2 linked regions of the Lonchura striata genome follow. The protein of the gene in region 1 interacts with the protein of each later gene in a biochemical or structural test. Links are inferred from orthologs where the notes say so. Each region holds a gene or a part of one and is shown in the gene's direction. Other genes may lie near its edges.

Region 1 (10,270 bases):
TCCCAGTGGGAGTTCATTTAGTTCTTTTCTATTTGTGAGGAGACGTGACAAGATTTTCTTCTTATGTACATTTTCAGATTTTCTACCAAGGCAGTAAATTCCTTAAAAGACTCGCCTCTCTGCTGGTTTTGAAAGGGAGAATATACGGGGAAAAAACAGTTCAGCTGTCTTGCAGAGTCACCTGGAAAATTGAGCAGAGTGGGTCACAATGCCTCAGCAACAGGACTGCCCTCAGCTGAGCTGCTCTTGTGCCCTGTGAGCACTCAGGCATGTTGATGTCAGCAGCCTCCCTCACTTATGATAACGATATTTATCATTGTTTATTTGCTTTTATGATAAAGATATTTAGACATACTGCTGAGGAGGCAGAAATGCCTCCTGCTGACATTACTTCTCTTTACTGAAGGAGGTGGCTGTGCTCAGATGGCAGCCAGAGCTGTGGGTGCCCTGGTGTTACAGAGCGCTGCATTCTATGGGCCTGTGGGAAACTGTCCTGCGGTGCATCAGGCACAGTGGCACCAGCCAAGCGAGGGATGGGATTGTTCTGCTCTGCTGCAGCCTCAGCCTGAGTCCTGTGTGCAGCTTTGCTCACTGCAATATAAAAGAGCTATTAAGCTGTTAGAGAGTGTCCAAAGGAGGGTAAGGAACATGGTGAAGGGCCTTGAGGAAAAACCATATGAGGAGTGGTTGAGGTCACTTGGTCTGTTCAGCCTGGAGAAGACTGGGGGGAAAACCTCACTGCAGTTGCAACTTCCTCATCAGGGGAACAGAAGGGGCACTGATCTCTACTAACTGCGGTGATCAGTGACAGGACCCATGTGAATGGCCTGAAGTTCTTTTGGGAGAGGTTTAGATTGGATGTCAGGAAGATTCTTCACCCAGATAGTGATTGGGCACTGGAACAGGCTGCCCAAGAAAGTGGTTCCATCACCAACAGTGGCAGAGTTCAAGAAGCATTTGGCAATGGTCTCGGGCACATAGTGTGCTCTAGGGGATGGTCCTGTGTAGGCCTCAGACTTGAACTTGATGATTCTTGTGGGTCACTTCCAACTCAGCATATTCTGTGAAAATAGTGCCTCTAAGTGCAAAAGAAAAAGGAATTTGGGAACCTATGTCCTAGAAGGCTTATCCTTGAGACAAACTTTACAGGTAACACGCTCTCTCCAGCATGTGCTGGTCAAGAGTAAAGAAATGTCTCAAACTAATTTCAGTAATTATCCCACCCTGTGAAGCGTAATTAATTTGAGGGTCCAGGGGCTTTAGTTTTGCATCAAGTCCAATTTGGTACTTCTACTAGTGGTAGAGATCACAGAATAGGGAGTGAGTCCCTTTTGCTTCTGATGGTGTCAAGCTGGCAGCAGCACTGAGTGCCTGGGAAAGCATAAGTGGAATTGGGAAAGAACTGTGGCAGATTGGAGGAGGGCTGGAAAATTGCCCATATCTTTTTTTGCTAATGGTAGGTGCTAACTGCAAGACAGATCCACATCAGTATTGGGGGCAACAGTCTCTGCAGTTTTGGCCTGGGGCTTCTGATGGTTTGTGAGGCAAAGATGTGTCAAAAGCATCACTCTCTGGGGAAAAACAGGTCATATTAGGCCAAAACTTTGTGCCTGAGAGGCACAAAACTCCCCTTGCACTCAACACTCACAGGGTTGTAGCTGAAATATTGTCTCCTCTTTGTCCACAGCTTCCTTGGAAGGTGAGTATTTCCATAGTCTTCTGCTTATTTCCAAGTGTGGATGAGCAGCAGAACTGTAGGTCTCTGACCTACAAGAAAACCTGAAACAGTGAGGCTGAACCTGTGTATGTCACACAAATAAACAATGAAATACCAGACTAGGGTTGTTGCCTTAGCCAGTAATGAATAGTACTGAATGTCAGCTCACCTTGGCTCTCTGCAGCAGGATTTGTTGGTGGAGAGGATTGACCACTGGGAAAGGCAGTGCTGAAGTTTTAGGGATGCAGAGCTATGGAGGGAGGCAGCTGAGCCAGGCTGCACAAAAGGGAGAGGGCCTCAGGGCACTGTGTGGAGGCTAAGCTGGAATTCCAAACTGACATATAGGAGCAAGCAGTCTGTATCCAATTAAAAATTTGAGCAGCTCCTTTGCATGGACTGAGAAAGAACTTTTGTTGTCTCTGAAGTGGTGATCTGGAGAGCAAGGACACTGCTGGGAAGGAACAAGAGGTGTCCCAGCAGCTCAGCTCACTCTGGCCTTGCTGTGCAAAGCTGGGGGCCATATAAATGGGGTTTATTATTTAAGGTGATGAGACTGAAAAGTGCTGTCCACTCCAAAAGCAGGGGACTGCAAGCTCATAATGCAACACCCAGAGCATGAAAGCCTTGCTGCTAAAATGCTTAAAATGAGGCAAAAAGGGAATTTCTGCTAAAGGAGAGGGGCTGTAGTTGCAAGGAGCTGCTAGCTGGTTATCACACAGGCAGAGATGTTGCTGTCCCCAAAGAAAAACCTCCTCCTTGTTTAACTCACTGTGTGGACATGGTAAGCATAGGGCTCTCTTATGAAATGCCTGTTTAACAGTGATCAACACAGGATTAGTAAAATCTTAGTAAATCCTTAGTAAAATCTGAGGTTGGGAAAAGGTGTTCCCTGAGGAAAAAATTAGTCTCTGGAGGTCTCCGAAAGGTGGAAAGAAGTGAGCTGTAACCCAGCTCCACTGCTCTGTTCTGTCTTCATCCTGTGAGGGATGAAGGAGCAGAGCCAGCTCTTGCACTGGGCTAACTCTTCAAATAATTCTCACTAAACCAAATAGGCTGCCAAGCATGGGCTGGATTTTGCTGGCTTTTGTTTTCAAGTGTTCCCAGCTGCACAGCCCCTGGGTGCCAGCACAAAGCCACTTTCCCAAACGCTGTGTCCCAGTGTGACATTCAAACACAAGAAGCATGGAGACTTTGCTCCTCCCTCTCCTGCCCTTGCCTTCACCTGGATGACATGGCTGCAGTCAGTGGCCACACTGGGCTCAAGGTGCTGTGGTAGCTCCTGGATTGGGTGAGACAGTCAGAGGCATTCCCAAGAGAAAGGTTTCTTCCAGGCAGGATGAGGCAGCTTGGGGCAGGAAGGGAGCAACTCTACAGCTCTGCTTCACACCACCTCACTGAGCCAGGGCTGGAGCATCCTGGCATGCAGGCAAAAGCTTCTGACTTTGGCCTGATGCCAGCTTGTGCTGGGAAAACTGCTCCTGGAGTCGACAAGGAGGGGAATTGAGGGGGGATTCACCCTGTATCCCATATCCTTCTGCTGTTGGAAGCAAATCTGAGATTTGGGGGCAAACCCATCCTAGGAGGGTGCAGTGAGATCCTGGCAGGACATCTGAAAATTTGATTGCTGAGCTGGTGATGGACTTGTGTCCCACTGCTGACACTGCCCCAACACTTGGACAGGTATTTTTTGATGGTGAAATTGTGGGTCTGGCTGGCTGCTCGGGCAGAGTGGGCTGCAGCATTCCCAAAACACAGCTCTGAAGGGGCTGTGTGGCTGCAAATACTGCTTTTAGATGATCCATCACCAAATTCAGCATCCAATCTCCAGTTATTGCTCTAGGAAGAACCTGTGGATCCCATCTACAATGGGATCAGCCATTGTAGACCCTGTTTTGGAGACCTGATCACACCTACAGCCTATTTCCCTCCATTCCCATGGACAAAGCCCAGAGCCACTATGGAGTGTGACATGCCAAATCCCAGCCCCCAAAACAATGCCGGGCACTGACAGTGCAGGAGGTGCAGCCAACCCACCAACCTCAAAAACGAGCTGTCTCATGGCACCGCCAAAATGTTTTTTTCTGCCCTTGGTCAGCTCTCTGCTCCCTGCAGCTACCTCAGGGCTGGGCCAGGCTCTTGGATTTATCCCGTCCCCTCCAGCCAGCCCTACATCCTGCCCCAGGAGGGGCCAGGAGTGCACCCATATATAGGCAGAAGATCAATCCAGCTGATAATTTGGCACTCAGCATGGAGAAATGACAGCAGGAAAGTTGAATGTCAGCATTTATTAAAGATTTGGGGTGTTTTTAGCAGCCAGCCAATTTTTTGTCTTAGTTCTTACGTAGTTTCCCTCTGCACTTCCGTATTTTTTCTTCATTCTTTAGTATTTTTTCTTTGGCTTCCTCTTTTTCTTTGTTCTTCTCCATTTCTTCTCGGATTGCCTCTATTTTGTCTCTGATGCTCTGTAATTTTTTGTCGAGATCGTGTACTTTTTCTTTGTCATTACGTGTTTTTATTTCATTCTCTATTTTTACTTCATTCTTCAGTATTTTTTCTGCATGCTTTTTTAATCTGTTTTGCTGTATTTTTTCTTTGTTCTTATGTATTTTATCTTTGAGATCCTGTATTTTTTCTTTGTTTGTCCACATTTTTGTTACATACCCTTTTTGTACTTCATTGTTCTTTTTTTCCTCTTCGATATCCTCTAATCGTTCTGTCTTCATCTGTATTTTCATTTCGTTCTTCCGTATATTTTCCTTGATCCTCTCTATTTTTACTTTGTACTCCTGTATTTTTATTTCATTCTTCTGTATTTTTTCTTTGATCTCTTGCATTTCTTCTTCAGTGTTCTTAATTTTTGCTTTGATCGCCTGCATTTTCTCTTCATTCTTCTGTAATTCTTGTTTGTATTTCTGTATTTGTTCATCCTTGTCCAGACTTGGCTCATCAACCAGCTCCCTAGAACTGTCATCAGACACTTTCGCAAAGGTCAGTTTCCCCATTACGTCTCCCGCCTCCTCAGTCGCTGGGCAGCCGAAGCGCGAGTGGGAAATGAGATTTCGGGCAAAATCTGCAGCTACTGGACACCTGCTGAGGGAGGCGCTGGCCCGGCTGCCGCCTTCCCGGGGGGCTGAGCACGCCCGGGCTCGGCTCCTGGCGCCCCGGCACCGCCGCTGGCTCGGCCGTGTCGCCCCGCGTGGCTGTGGGGTGGCGGAGGCCGCTGAGGCGATCCGGGAGCCGTTGCGGGGCTGCGGGAACCGTTGAGGGGGCTGCGGGGCGGCTGAAGGGCTGCGGGGCAGCTGAGGGGTGGTGGGGTCCCCTGAAAGGCTGCGGGGCCGCTGAGGACGTGCTGGAGCCCTGAGGGGCGGCGAGGGCCGTCGGGCCCGGGGAGCCGCGGGGACCCCGGGGTGGCGCCTCGTCCTCCTGAGGCGACAACGGCCGAGGCGGCGCCGCCGCGCGTGCTGCGGGAGGGGCCACAACCGACCACGCCCCCTAGCGGGAAAGGGGCGCGTCCCGCTGGGGCGACGTCACGGGCGCGCTAATTTGCATACGCCGTGCGTGCCGCGGGGTGGGCGGGCGGACGCCGGAGGTGGCGGATCCAAGATGGCGCCGTGCGGACGTGTCCGGAGCCGCTGCCCGGGCCCGGCGCTGCTCCTGCTGCTGGCGCTGGCGGCGCGGCCGGCGGCGCCCAGCGCTCCTGCCGCTCTTTCCGGCCCCGGCGGTGCTCCGCCCGCAGCGGGGCAGCCGGTGGGGCCGGGCGCGGCTGCCCCGCGAAGTGCCCGCGGCGGCGGGTCGGGCAGCGGGTGGAAGCTGTCGGAGGAGGCGGTGTGCCGGGAGGACGTGGTGCGGCTCTGCTCCAAGCACAGCTGGGCCAACAACCTCGCCGTGCTCGAGTGCCTGCAGGATGTCCGCGAGGTGAGGGTCGGGCCCGGGGCCGGGCCGGGCCTGCCCGCGGCGGCGAACAAAGAGCCGGGTCCGCGCCCCGCCGCGCCGCCGCCCCGCGTATCCCTCATGGCTTGTGTTTTAAAAATCGGAGTTTGCGCTGCGGAGCTCCGTGAGGGGGAGCGAGCTGCCTGCGGGGTGGCCGTAAGGGCTCCGGCGAGCAGCTCCTCTTCATCCGCACCTCGGGGCTCGGCGCTGCCGCCCGCGCAGCGCCCTGCGGGCAGGGAGAGCTCTCGGGGATGGCTTTGTGCTCCGGCTCCGGTGCTTGCGGGGTTCTTCTTTTCTGGAGGTCTGGGAGAGCCCAGCCTGCCTAGTGCTGAGTGAAGGCGCCGTGCTCATAGCAGCAGTGACCTGAGATGTTTTTTTCACGTTCAGGCTCCCACCTTCGCCACGAACTCGGCTGCAGAGGCGGCTGCTTTCCAGTCCTCGGTTGTGCATGTATGAAACTCGATATATAATCGTTGGATTTAGCTGACTTTATGGGGAGGTTAACAGGACAGTCTGTGTTGTTCCCATACACCTGTCGTGAGCAGTTTTAACTCCAGTTCAAGAAAAAACTGAGTTGCCTCCTCCGAGTCTTCCAGCTCCATCTTTTCATTCATTCCTGGGCTCGTTTTGAAGCAGCCTTTGGGGACGTGCCTTTAGTGAGCTGTCCTGCCTAGTCTCGAGGTCTATATATTCTTGGCTTCTCTGCTGTAGAGTCCGGGAATGCCAGACTGGGTCAATTTTATTGGTGTTTTGCCCAATAGGGAATGCGATTAGGAAAAACCTGGGCTTGTTTTTCATCCATTTTTATGGGGACAGCAGATGGCAGTGGCAATGGGTACTCTAATCAAAGGGAGTCTTGAACCAGTAAGTGTCAGTGATTACTTCTGGCTTAAAATGCAAAGCTAATTTAGATTTTAATCTAACTTCATGTTTTAATTTTGTGTGGGTAGTTAGTAAGACACTCGTGGTAGGTGTTTTAAATGAGTCTTGCTGCAAAATCTGTCACAGGTATGAAACATTCCACTATGTCCTTTATGAATAACTTGTCCCTTGCTGTTCCGTTCACCTGTCTGAGATCTTTTGGCCCCCTTTTTGGGAGGCATCCTGTCTGGGAGGATCTCGGAAGCTGACCTCACAGGCAGTGGCTCACAAGCTGCCAGCCTGCCAAAAAGGCAAGCTCTTGTTCCTTTCTTTCCAGTTGCATAGCCCCTCCCTACTCTTTTCACAGTTCCAGTGCTTGTTGGTTTTCTGCCATTTTAGCGAGGTGAACCCTTTTGTGGTCTAGTTTATTGGTTTTCTGCTGGAATAGTTTTGCCATTTTTCTGAGTTAAAGCACAGAGGGGGGCGAGTGCAGGGCTGGTACACAGGGCTGTGCAGGGAGAGGGATAAGATCAAATCAAAGGTGAAGGAATGTTTTGCATCACGCTTTATTTTCAGCAAGTACAAACCCTTATGTTAGCTCTGCATATCTCCTGAGAACTCCACTCTTTGAATGTTATGTCTGCTTGTGGTTTTCCCATTCCTAAGCCTACCTTGATGTCAGTAGTTTGCTGGCTCTTGATCTTGTCTAGCTGTAGTGTTGCCTGATGCTCATTGCTGAAGGTGAATTTTTTCCTGGGTGACATCCCAAGCATCGACAGAACATCTCAGGGCTCTTCTGGATTGAGTTTTGTTTCTCTGAAGGTGCCACTCTGGCCTTGCCCTTATTTGTCTGTCAGCTTGCAAAGAGCACTGTCAGCTGATCTTAACTCTCAACACTTTGCCCCCAGTAACACTGATGTGATGGGCTGCATCCTGACGTAAAAATGACTTCACAGGGTGCTGCTCCTAGAAATTAATTAAAATAGCTGACTTCTGTGTATCCCTACAGTTTAACACTTGATATTTAGACTGTGAATAAAGGTCTTGAGTTGTAAACATTGGGTAGCATTTCAGCTGCTTGGGAATGGGGTCAGATGTCGTCTCAGACATTTTCTTTGCATTGGAGATGACAGCAGAGGAAAGAAGTGACGTATTGTCTGTTATTGGTATAACTTCTACTTTTGACTCTAGAGCATCTGACCACTTGTTTGGACAATACCAGAAAAGTGACAATTACGTTTTAAAATGGGTGAGGATCTAGTCTGAGTCATACAGCCCACTTAAAACCAGTCAGGCTATAGTAAGTGGAGATTTGGGGGAGTTGTTTTGTGTGTGATGGTCTCAGTGTGGACAGTGTATGGACACTGCTGCAAGTAGCAGGTAAGATTTTTAGATGCAGTTAGGCTGCAGAAGTAGCCTTTTTTTCTCTAGGTGTTTAAGGTAATCTTACTTTTCTCATAAGAAATGTTTCTCTAAAGTGGAGAAAATTCTGTTTGAAACTGAGAGTGTTACTGTGAGGATTATCCATTGATTTTTCTTAGTGTGATACAAGTAGGCTAGGACACTTCTAAATATGAATAACCAGGAGAAACAACTACTTGAAACGTTCCTTTTGAGTCCATAAATTATAGAGAAAAGAGAAGGTGTGCTTGTTTCATTAGTCAGTGTGAATGCAATCACGTGGTTTCGGTATCTGCTGATTTCTGGGAGTGGATGTCTTTGAAGTACATCCTCCCTTGCTTTCATTGGGTAGTTCTGAATCTAAAGGAGCAGGAGCGTTGAGTCAGTGGTTGACTGGTACAGGAGCCAAACTTGTAAGGCAAATGTTGAAAGAAGCAATTTAACACAAATATTCAGTGAAAAACAGTCTGACACAAAAAAATTAGTAAAAAACCTCCAAACTCCACACCCAGAACTGCACAAATGAAAAACCCACCCAAACCAAACCCACAAATAAAAAATTTTAAAGTTTTGATTTTAAGAGGTTATTGGTAGGCTGTCAATTTAAAGTATTATTAAAAGAGTTATTTAAGCACACAAGAATTTTTAGAATTCTTGAAGAAAAAATAGTCAGATCCCCAGACTGGTAGCAAATACTTTTTACCACTGATTTTTCCACGGAGTCAATGACATGATTGCTTAATGTAGTGCAGAGTCCTCTTTCCTTTTGTAGTAGAAGGATGCTCCTTGATTGGAGAAGGAAGTGGTCATGGTCAGAGCTACTCATCTTAAACATTCTTTTACCATAATCAGAAGATAGAATAAACCCCATTTTTTTGGTGCATTTTGCAGATGACTTAACTTCTGTCTAGTTAGAAGTATTCATGCACTGGATATATTGCAGTTTTGAGTGACTTAAATTTTGTCATCAAAATTTTAATTATTATTCACATAATTCTATGTCACAATATAAAAAAGGGTTGAAAGGTGTAATGTATATGTATATTTTAAAAATTGTGTTCCAAAGTGCTTTTTTTCTGAAAGGATTCAGATTGCGAGCCTGTTTCTGGAAGGACTTTAGAGCTTGCATTTCACTGAACATAGGCTGCAGCCTTTAAGCCCTTTTTTTGTGGGTTGCCTGTTAAACTGATTTGCATAGTGGTTAAAATATAAATAAACCCATTAAACATTAATATATTTGCTAGGTAATGGTTTTTGCTTGATTAATGATAATTTGCATGTGAAGCATGACCAAGTTGTTGAATTTGAGGTGGGAAACATTAAAAGGGATGAAAATAATTTTATCCACTGTGGGTCTCTTATCTGGTTTACTGGTGGAGCATTTTACTTTCAGAACCTACATTACATGTGGTTAATTGGTGAGTGAATTTGATACCATAATTGTTGAGCATTGCCCTTATAAAGATTGTGCAATATTTATAGCATATTATTGTTCTGTATAATGTTAATGCATTAAAGGCTAAGTATTTTTTCCGAGATCAAACAGATGTGGTTAAGATGGGATTAGAGATCAAAGTTTTGGTCTCCTGCTACTTTCTTCATCCCGAGTGGTTCCATAAAGGTAACACCTTTATGGCAAAGACAGTGTAATTGAGCCTTAATGCTCTGCCTTCTGGAAAAAAATAGGACTCTCCTAGTGTTGCAGATTGGATTAAGAACAAAACAAGTTATCATGAAGGCTGTGTATTTCAATAATAATATTTTTCCTGTTATTTCAGTATTGCATTTGGTGTAAAAGGCCAGAAAATTCATTTGATGTGACTTAATGGGCTGGGGAGCGTGTACCATTTGACAGGCTGGGAACTGTCGTATTTCTTCCATTTAAATGTTTTATTCCTCACTCTGTGTGTACCTGAGCTCCTTAAGTGATCTGATAAAATTGTGTCAGTGAAATTACTTGTTTTAAAGTGATAGATGGAGAATAGAAGCCAGACAGTAATGCATGCTTGGGGTCTTCATTTCTTTGGGTTTTACTGTAATTGTAGGAAAATTGTGTGTTTCCAGTCCTTGTCCTGGTTCTCTAGTGTTTCTGCCTTTTTGGTAAATGGATTGGAAATGTTATGGTTTCCCTGTATCTTTTGCTTGCACTTAGGTAGATAAGTGTGATCTGTCACAGTAGCTCATTTTATTTTATTTTTCCTCTTTTTTATCTCCCTAATTTATTGAGTTCAAGGTCAAAGGTTTTGTTTGACTCAACATATGACATTATGTTATTTTTGAGCGCATACTCCTGTTATTCCGTCTCTCGGTTTTCCTGTGCACGTGTGGAGGCTGGCATTTAAAGTTCCCTTTTTGAGATGT
Region 2 (9,981 bases), on another chromosome or scaffold:
CACCTTCCCTACTGGCACTAGAACTCCTTTTCCCCCTCCAGGCTGGCTAAATCTCTTACTTTTCCTCTCCTAGTATTACTGTGGGCGAAGCTGGAGGTTTTTCCACTGTTTCAAAATTTCAAGTGGTTCTATGACTCTTTGCCATGGGATAAATATCCATTATACAAAGCACTTTGAGATAAATACTTATCAAGTGTTTTAATTTAGGAATGACAAAAATATCTTCTAGGAGAAGGAACTGGATTACTCAGAGGCTCTTAAAGCTCTGTTTTTGTCTGTTGATACATAAATGCAGATGCAATCTTGTAGATGAAGAACCAGTCTTTTAAAAAGACATGGGAAATTAATATCTGTCTTTTTCTACATGTACAAATGTACATCTATATACTCTGTTCACCTGGGATCTCACCACATTCTGTATTTGTCTTGGATTTGTGATTTCTTCAAGTTCAACAGAGTTTCAGATAAAGTATTGAGATACTGATAGAGATACTGAAAAAAAAGTTTCTCAAACCAAAACTTACAAATTTCCAACAGAGAGGCAGACTCTACAAAACCCCTGTCTTAGCAATTCGTGGCCTCTTTGGAAAACTTTCAATTAAAACTTTGTCGCTACAAATCAATCCACTGCTACTTGTTATGTACCAAGTAGAACTTTGTTGATCATGTGCCTCCTAAGTTCTCTAAAACACATTTTGGGTTTTAGAAGATTGTAAAGTTTTCTTTTCTCCAGCACCCTTTTCTTACAGTGGGGTGGGAATAAAACAGTTCTCTAGGACAGACAGGGTTCTTTGAAAATCTGCCTTTTGAGTAGTGATTCCATCCCTTGTGTGCTCATTTTATGGTGATTTCAGCTAAGCATTGTTTCACTTGTTTCCTCATAAGAATGTCTCATGGGATGGTATTAAAAATCTTAATTATAACGAACCACACTGCACTATTGTTTCTTTATTACTGACACAGCCTTGAGGCACAAGCCAGGTTGATCTGCCAGGAACAGATCAATCATATCAATGTCCGCTGTTCTCGACAGCTTAGCAGCCTTCTGCTGGTTTTTCAGTGGTTTTCTTTAACATTTTTCAATGTTCTAGTGTCTTTTCTAGGTGCTCACGTGGAAGGCTCAGCTTCTAATTACCTTGATCTTCTTTTCTGAGATACAGAGAGGCAACATTTGCTTTTTGTCCAACTTTTTACACCTTTTTGCTCATATTCTCAAAGTTAATTACTGAGGGTTTGGATCTTTTGACTGTTGCTTGATTGGTTGTAACCAACCTAAATGGTCTTCACTCCATAATGTGACCTGTTCTCTTTTCCCACACTATTGCCATGAATATTAACTTTCCTTTATATAAAAAGAAACAACATTTGACATGTCCTCTGTCAATTGCTGCCCTTTAAATGGCAGACCTGGCTGGATTTTTATTGTTTTTCTTCCTAATATGTTTATATAGCCCTTTCTTATCCTTTGTGTCTCATAGTGGCCTCTTAAGTGAACCTTCCAACTGGAAAATTAGTTGTGGCTACATAATTGTCAGTGCACCTCTGTTTGTAAGGGAAAAGAGGTGATGTGGGGATTTCCCTGTAAAAAGCTGGGCCTTCACTTGTGCAAATGAAATTCTGGAGTGTATAGGAACAAGAAGTGTTCAGCATTTCTAAAAACTTGTCTTTAGAGTCTCCTGTTTTCCTGGCAGAGAGGAATTGTATTAAATTTAAGAAACTATGTCTGTGCTCATGTAATATAAGAAGAGAGCAGCAACTTCATCCAGCTCTGTACCGCATAAGAAATGAGGATCTTACATTCCCAAATCAATTGGAAAAAGAATAAAAAAGCATGAATGTGAAATAGCTTTGAGACGAGAATAAATAAGTAACACAGAAAGCAGTTAAGCTCATGCTGCATGGCATTTTAGCTTGATTATCTCCAGTTCCACCTAAGTAACTGTATCACAGGTACTTTTCCTGAAATATATATGTAGTTTAGCATCCAAGATGAGCTTTAGCTCATAGGAATCCCAGTCCCCCTGAAGTTTTTAAGTGCCTTTGACTTTTAATAAAGAGGATTTAACCTTTATTGTGGAGTTTTGAGAATGATTTTCAGGCTTTCTTTTTTCCTGAAAATTTTGCCTCCATCTTCCAGTACATTACAGGGAAATAAGAATATAATCAGTGAATAGCAGAATTCCCTGGGAAAAACCAAAAAGAGCCCCATGGCAATTATGCACAAGGGAATACAGCCAACAAAAAGAAACAGTCTTTTTTTAGGCTGGAATTTTTACAAGCATATTGCTTGTAGGCTTTGGTGTGTTGTTATTTTTTGTGGGGCTTGCTTTATCTGCTGGAGACAAGAGGTCTCAGACAGCTCCTGAAAAGGAAGACTACTGTAAACTGTGAAATAAGCTCTTCCTTCCTCCGGAGATTCCATTGGCAAATGAATTCTGATGAAGTCTCCTCAGAGCTTTTTTCAGAGCTTCTGCCATGACAAGGATGAGTGCTTACCAGTAGGAAGTTCATTAAATGACTTTCAAAAGGGAATCTTCAGGAAAAGGTGTAGCATTTTCTGCCTCTTGGCACCTGGGAGCATAAAAACTGTCCTAAAATTTTCTGTAAATTTTCTGTGCATAGAGTTATAACAGCTGATCAATATTTTAGAAAACCAAACCAAACCAAACCAAAACACACAAAACAAAACAACACAAAAAAAAAAACCAAACAACAACAAAAAAAAAAAAAAAACCAAAAACAAAAACAAAAAAAAAAACCAAAAAAACCCCACAACACTACAAAAACCCCTGCCTTATTGAGACTGATTAACATTAGTTTGTAGTAGAATAATGTTGAAATTAGGCTCTGCTGCATCATGTGCTGGACAGGTGCATTAAAATACAAGTTTCTGTCTGTGTCCTTCAGGTGGTAAAGCCCCCTACCAGAGAAGGGCTGGCAAACAGGAAGAGTTTTCATTCCCAGTTTGAGGCTAAATAAACAGCAGCCCTGATCTGATGCCTCAGGATGTCTGGTGCTTCTAAGCAAGGCTTGCCCAGGCCAGCCAAAAGCTAACTTCAGCTTTCCAGAGTTTCATGATTTGTGTTTCTAGCTTTGCTAGTTCACACATGCTAGAAACTGTTCCTCTGCCTACAAATACTCAGTGTGTGTTTTTAATCCTCACTCTCTTCAGTAGCTGACTTGCTTTCTTAGACTTTGTTGCAATTTCTAGTCAGCTCTCCTGATTTGTTAGCAACTGAGGCTGTTTTAGAATATACTCTTTATTCCATGCTCTTTTCTGAAATAATTTCTTTGATGGGCAGAGATCTTTGGCTACTTGACAGTTCTTTCTTTTTTGGGCAGTAAAATTGGGCAATACCAGTTGATGTTAGCTTGGAATACAGAAGCCAATGATTTTTATTCTGTAAGAACAGGCTGAGGCTCCAAAATCAGAGCTCCAACATGCACTGTATAAACTCAAACTATGCTTTACAGATGTGAAGTGCTGCCAGTACTTGTTGAGTTCTTTGCATATTCAGCCTCATAAAATCCCATCCATAATGGTGAAGTTTTATGCAGCAGTATAATTAATCAGGGTATACACAATAAATGTGAATTAATTCCTAGTGTATTGTCTTGTCCACTTGAAATATTATATGCACCTGTTCAGGTGCTGTAACTCTATTGAGATCAGGACATTGAAGAATATGGTCCAAGGGACTCTTCAAAGCAAGGTCCACGTTTCAAGCTTGACTGCTACAAGTGACTGATGAACCTGTATTGTGAAGAACTCCAGCAACCTGACCACAAGTGAGAGCTCTGCACAGCTGAGATCCATAAGGAAGGGCTTGTCCTGTGCTGAAGTTTCCAATTTTGGTCCAACTTGGTCAACCAGCTTTGAGTGTTGGCGCCTTTCCTACCGAGATACCTGAAGAACTGATGCCTCCTTACTGCAAAACATTATGCCAGGTGAAATATTGGAATCTGCTTATTCATGCATTTAATTCAATCTAATTGTCTTCCTCCTCCTTGATATCCTGGAATTGCGGGTTTCTGTCAGTAAAAGTGTGTAATGTGGCACTTGGCACTCTGTCAGCACAGTGTGTCTTTCTGGGAGGGTTGATCTGGCAAGAGGAAACATCCGTCCTGACGTGTGGGAGGGCTGGATCCTGGGATTTTCCAAGAAATTTTTTTCCACACGGAATTTCCCGTCTCGTGGAGGGCAGGCTAGTTGAGGGGATAAAAGGCAGGGCATTACAGAGTCCAGACACTTGGAGCTGAACTTGATTTTCAAGGCTGAGTTCATCCACTTAGCCACAGTCTCTGGGAAGCAGCGCAGAGGAATTCTGTCACCTGGACACTGCAGCTACAAAAGGTGAGTAGAAATGAACTCTGCTATTCTGTTTCACTGCCCAGCTAAAGGAGAACTGGAAATCTGTGTTCATCTTCCATAAAAGCTGCTTACATTTTAAAGTATCTTGATATTAAAAACTGTTTTTAAATGAATAATTTGTGGAAATCCTACTTGTTTAAAAGTACATACCATAAACTTCTTTCCTCAGGTGTAAGCTCAGGAAAAATCTGCTCTTCAGAGTTAATTTTGCTTATTGAAAAATCTGGGGGAGCCCATGTTCCTAAAACTCCTCCAGATGATTCCTCCTTGCACAGTGCATTTCCCTAAGGCAGAATCACTTTCCAGAGCTTCATGGAAGTAGAATACCTGCTGTTTGCAAACATCTTCATTTCCACTGCGCATGCAGGAACATGAATAAAGTGCTTTTAAAGTCTCCATCACTGCATGGTCAGTACTTTATATGGAATTTTGACAGTTCACTATTTGTTTTTTACAAATGTGTTTCTTTGATTTCTCATAGCCATCTGCTTAAAAGACAGAGAAAACTCTCAGAAACATGATTTGCTTGAAGTTCCTATCTCTTCTTACCTATGGTAAGTGTGTATTTCTCTGTATGAAAAACTAGTGGGATGGCAATATTAGTGTGACTGTTTTGTTTGAGCTCAGCATCAAAGAGAATTTTGGAACCTGCCGTAATTAACCTGAGGCTATGTTCACACAGAAGAACCTCTGGATGCAGTGGCACGTTTTCCCTGCTTGCCTGTCAAAGCCATAATTGGCTCCTATAAGTCTCAAAGCTTTGTGTGATCAGACATAGTTTCACAGGCTGAAGTCCTGTACTTGAAGCTGACTTGCCTGGTTTGAAGCTTGCCAGGTGATTGTTTATAAAATAATTACCAGTAGTTTTTATGCATTTTCAGATACTGACAAGTTTGCAGTATTTATAGAGCTTAAATGTCCTCTTCTAGAGAGAGATGAGGGGAGAAGTCAGACACCAACTTTTGGATATTTTCTTATTCTAGGACTTACAGTGCTGCAGGGCGTGAAAGGGTGGACATACCATTATTCAGACAAAAACATGACCTACAGGGAAGCAGAGCAGTGGTGCAGAAAGAAGTATACTAACCTGGTTGCAATCCAGAACAAGGAGGAAATCAAGCACCTCAATGCCTTCTTACCCTTCAATCCGGGTTACTATTGGATTGGAATCAGAAAAATTAATGGCGTATGGACCTGGACTGGAACTAACAAAGAACTGACAGAAGAAGCAAGAAACTGGGCTTCAGGGGAGCCAAATGGCAAAGGGAACAACGAGGACTGCGTTGAGATCTACATCAAAAGAGGGAAGGATGATGGCAAATGGAATGATGAGCAGTGTGAGAAAAAGAAGGTTGCCTTGTGCTACACAGGTACAGCATGACAAAAGTCACTCCAGCGTGACCCTGGGGATCTTAGGTGGTGGCTGGGATGAGTTTTTTAACTTCATCTAATATTTACCCCAGAACAAGTGGTCTTGGAGTTCCCAGCCAACAGAATCCTTTTACTGTGAGCTAGTCTGTAAAACATGTGCACTTCAGAAATTCTGTGAAATGACAGGAGAATCCTAAATACCAAACCCTCTGATTTTCTTTTGCTATACAAAGGGTCGTTTAGTGTCAGAAAGATAAAGTGCTAGCCAGGTTTTCTTAGTGGCTGTTGTTGCTTCTTTCATAATTTGCCTGTTTTGTTTTTTTTTTTTCCAGCTTCTTGCAACCCATCTCTCTGCAGTGGCCATGGAGAATGCATAGAGACTATCAACAACCACACCTGCCATTGCGACCCTGGCTTCTATGGGCCTGAATGCGAGTTTGGTAAGATTATGTCATCCTGCTTTTTGACCAACTCACGCTACCTAGTGTTCAATTTAGCTTCTTGGTTTACCTGCTCAGCTAAGGAGACTGACTGTGTACCTTCTTGTGCTTCTTTGAAGTTAAGAGTTGTGATCCACTAAAGAAACCTGATCATGGGAGCCTTGAGTGCCACCATCCACTGGGGGACTTCAGCTACAACTCGTCCTGCACAGTTCAGTGTGAGGAGGGCTATGAGCTGACTGCACTGGAATCTGTCCACTGTACCTCTTCTGGGATCTGGTCTGCCCCCCTTGCAGCATGCAAAGGTGAGCTTTCTGCATTGCACATGGCCCTGTACACCTCAGTGCTGCTCTGGCAGCAGGAACAAATGGAAGTTTGGCCAATTCCTTTGTAACACATTATGTGGTGTAGGTGCTGTTTTATTTCAGCACACAGGTCTCTGTTTCTGAGGAGGTGAGATGAGTAGGATGAATGTTCTGGCATTGTTCTTGCAGGGAAAGATTTTTCCAACTCTTAGGTAGAAACAGGGAATTGAGATGACCTAGGTGTGAGACAGCTCTCAACAGGCCAGTTACTCCTGACTGTACGAATAATTTTCTGAGGTGTTTAGCTTAGAATGAGATACTTTTCTAAGCAAATGAAAGCATCAAAGGTCACCCGGCAACAGTCAAAATAGGGAAATTTTGGATTGTAAGTAGTTGCTGTCATGAGCTGCAGATGAATTAACCATCATGTCTGAAGAGACAGTTTCCCTTTAAAAATGTTTCCCCTTCTATCTGATTTCTGAGATGGTGGCATAGTAGAACCCTTTCTACAGCTGCTCCTGTTTACTGGATGTGTTCCTAAGTTTCAGAAAAATAAAAATACTTTTAATGGTTTGTTGCAAGCTAAGCTCTGTGCTGTCCCTTGTGCCTTTCAGCTGTGACCTGTCCTGCCTTGGAAATGCCCATCCACGGGGCTGTGAACTGCTCCCATCCCTCCGTGCAGCTCACCTGGGGAGCCACCTGTGAGTTCACCTGTGAGGAAGGATTTACCCTGACAGGACCAGCCACACTGCAATGTGGCTCCTCAGGGGCCTGGGACAGGCAGCAGCCAACGTGTGCAGGTAATTCCCTTATCCCTGCTCACCTGAGCCCTCAGGGCTGCCAGCAGTGCCTGGTGCTGTCCCAAAGCCCCTGTGCTGATCGCTGTCGTGCTCCTTGTGCTGCAGCTGTGAGGTGTGAGGCTGTCCCGCGGCCAGCAGAAGGCTCTGTGAGCTGTGACCACGCTCCTGCAGAGCTCACCTCTGGCTCACGCTGTGATTTCCAGTGCGATGAGGGATATGTCCTGGAGGGCTCGCCCAGCACTGAGTGCACGGCACAGGGACAGTGGTCCGAGCCAGTGCCCAAATGCAAAGGTAAGACTTGCAGGGCTGGAAACCATCGATTAAAGCTGGAAGAATCTGAACAGACTTTCTCAATCAAATGTAATCAGAGTAGCATTCATCCCCACCACATTGGTAGCGCTTTTCATAAGCAGATCTTAAGGTGGGGGTCATTTAGCCTTGTGTAGTAGTGAGGAAACAGCAGTGCAGGATGATAACACTCTGGGGCAGTGCCTCTATCACACACAGTAGCACACTTTGACACTGGAGTGCTCTGGCAGGGATTCTTTATACCCTAAACCCCAAATGGGAGCAAGTGTCAGTTTATGCAGTCCAGGGTGGAAATTAATGTGTAGCCATTCCCAGGATGACTTGTATGCTTTGGTTGCATATTTAGGGGTTCTGGCTGCACTGTGCAACCTGCTGAAATCACTGTTTCTGCACTGCTAGGTCTGAAGGGAGGTATGATGGCTCTGTCAGGGACAGCTCCAGGCAGGGCATGTCTCCTTGCCAGCTCCTAGAAGAGTGTTTATCCTGACCTACTCCAAGCTAAGCTCTGTGCTGTCCCTTGTGCCTTTCAGCTGTGACCTGTCCTGCCTTGGAAATGCCCATCCACGGGGCTGTGAACTGCTCCCATCCCTCCGTGCAGCTCACCTGGGGAACCACCTGTGAGTTCACCTGTGAGGAAGGATTTACCCTGACAGGACCAGCCACACTGCAATGTGGCTCCTCAGGGGCCTGGGACAGGCAGCAGCCAACGTGTGCAGGTAATTCCCTTATCCCTGCTCACCTGAGCCCTCAGGGCTGCCAGCAGTGCCTGGTGCTGTCCCGAAGCCCCTGTGCTGATCGCTGTCGTGCTCCTTGTGCTGCAGCTGTGAGGTGTGAGGCTGTCCCGCGGCCAGCAGAAGGCTCTGTGAGCTGTGACCACGCTCCCGCAGAGCTCACCTCTGGCTCACGCTGTGATTTCCAGTGCGATGAGGGATATGTCCTGGAGGGCTCGCCCAGCACTGAGTGCACGGCACAGGGACAGTGGTCCGAGCCAGTGCCCAAATGCAAAGGTAAGACTGTTGGAAATTGCAGTTTTCTGGTCACTGGAGAACACACAGAAATCCATATTTCTACAGGGCCCTGGCTCCAAACTAAATGCTGTGCTCCCATGTTTTCTACTGTGCCTCGGAATGCCTGCACATGACTCTGAGCAGCTCCCATCCCAAAGTCCAATGAATTTGAAAATAAATTGTACATCTACTAGTGCAAAAAATTGGGCCAAAGACAGGAAAGTCCTTAGTTGTTCCAATTGTGTTCTTTTGCCAAAAATTTATATGGATGCAAAATGTGGAAAAATATAGAGAAATTTCACTATTTGTTTGCTTGGAACTTCTTGCTTTTTTTTTCTTGCATTCTTCGCTGCTCTACAGCAGGAATGACCATATCTTTTTGTGTTTCAGTCATACAGTGTGAACCACTGAGCTCTCCTGAGAAAGGCTCCATGGATTGCTCCCACAGGGCTGGGATGTTCACCTACAACACCTCCTGCCACTTCAGCTGCCTTGAAGGATGGAGTCTCAATGGCTCTCGTGTTCTCGAGTGCAGCCATTCAGGAAACTGGAGTGCCAGCCTGCCCACATGTGAAGGTATTTTGCCTGTAAGCAGCCACAGAGAGGTGGCCCTGTACTTTTAGTCAGATGAGGTGTGGAAGTAGTGGTGGTAATAGCAACCAGTGAGCTAGAACATGTAGTAAAGTCCATATATTCAAAAGCCCAACGAAATCACTCATTATGCTTGAAAATAGAGGAGGAAAATCCTAAAATATCTTTGTGGGAAATGCTGATTTCTTTTATATATATGAAAACCCTGCAACCAGATTTCAGTTCTTTCTGTTTGGTTTTTAAACAAAATATTTCTCACAATGAGCTTGTGAATAGAGACAAAAAACCTTTCTCAAGCAACAGAGCCTTGCAGGGAAATCTGCACTCATAAGACTGTTTCTCAGTGGAAAATTTTATAGTTTTTTTGATTTGGTGTGATAGTTACTTGGATGAACTCCTCAGCCAAAAAGCCTCAAAGAGCTTTTCTCTCAGATATTGTAATTTCAAAGGACAGAAAGCTCAGCCTTGCCTTCTCATTCAAGGCACTCTCTGTCCTCAGCTGGAGCACTCCTGGCCTGCCTGGAATGCTTTTGCTTGAGGTCCTAAAAGCTCAGTTCCACTTTAGTTTGCTTGAACAGAATTTGGATCCTTGAATAATTTTAATTGATCTCAGCAGAATTGCTCGAAGAGGAAGATAGCACACAGGGAGTTAAAATATGCACTGCAACAGGAAAAATAAGAGGAGCACAAATTGCTATGCAAGGCTGGAGGTTAGAGACAGACCCTGGTGTAGGGAGCTTCTTGTCTTGCCATTACTTTGGCAATGGATGGGGTAATTTTTAGTAT

What was found. The genes of interacting proteins can lie anywhere in the genome.
Region 2: the proteins of GLG1 (region 1) and SELE form a complex in vitro, tested with the Homo sapiens proteins (2 studies listed by BioGRID and IntAct). The link is inferred for Lonchura striata from reciprocal best matches to the Homo sapiens genes GLG1 and SELE.

Annotation. Positions count from the first base shown.
Region 1 is NC_134615.1:15,916,559-15,926,828, forward strand, and holds the start of GLG1 (Golgi apparatus protein 1), read left to right. Parts: upstream 1-5,311; 5' UTR 5,312-5,320; coding exon 5,321-5,632; intron 5,633-10,270. UniProt on the Homo sapiens protein: Binds fibroblast growth factor and E-selectin (cell-adhesion lectin on endothelial cells mediating the binding of neutrophils).
Region 2 is NC_134611.1:1,048,188-1,058,168, forward strand, and holds the start of SELE (E-selectin), read left to right. Parts: upstream 1-4,889; coding exon 4,890-4,926; intron 4,927-5,355; coding exon 5,356-5,742; intron 5,743-6,075; coding exon 6,076-6,183; intron 6,184-6,302; coding exon 6,303-6,488; intron 6,489-7,102; coding exon 7,103-7,288; intron 7,289-7,393; coding exon 7,394-7,579; intron 7,580-8,127; coding exon 8,128-8,313; intron 8,314-8,418; coding exon 8,419-8,604; intron 8,605-8,994; coding exon 8,995-9,180; intron 9,181-9,981. UniProt on the Homo sapiens protein: Cell-surface glycoprotein having a role in immunoadhesion. Mediates in the adhesion of blood neutrophils in cytokine-activated endothelium through interaction with SELPLG/PSGL1. May have a role in capillary morphogenesis.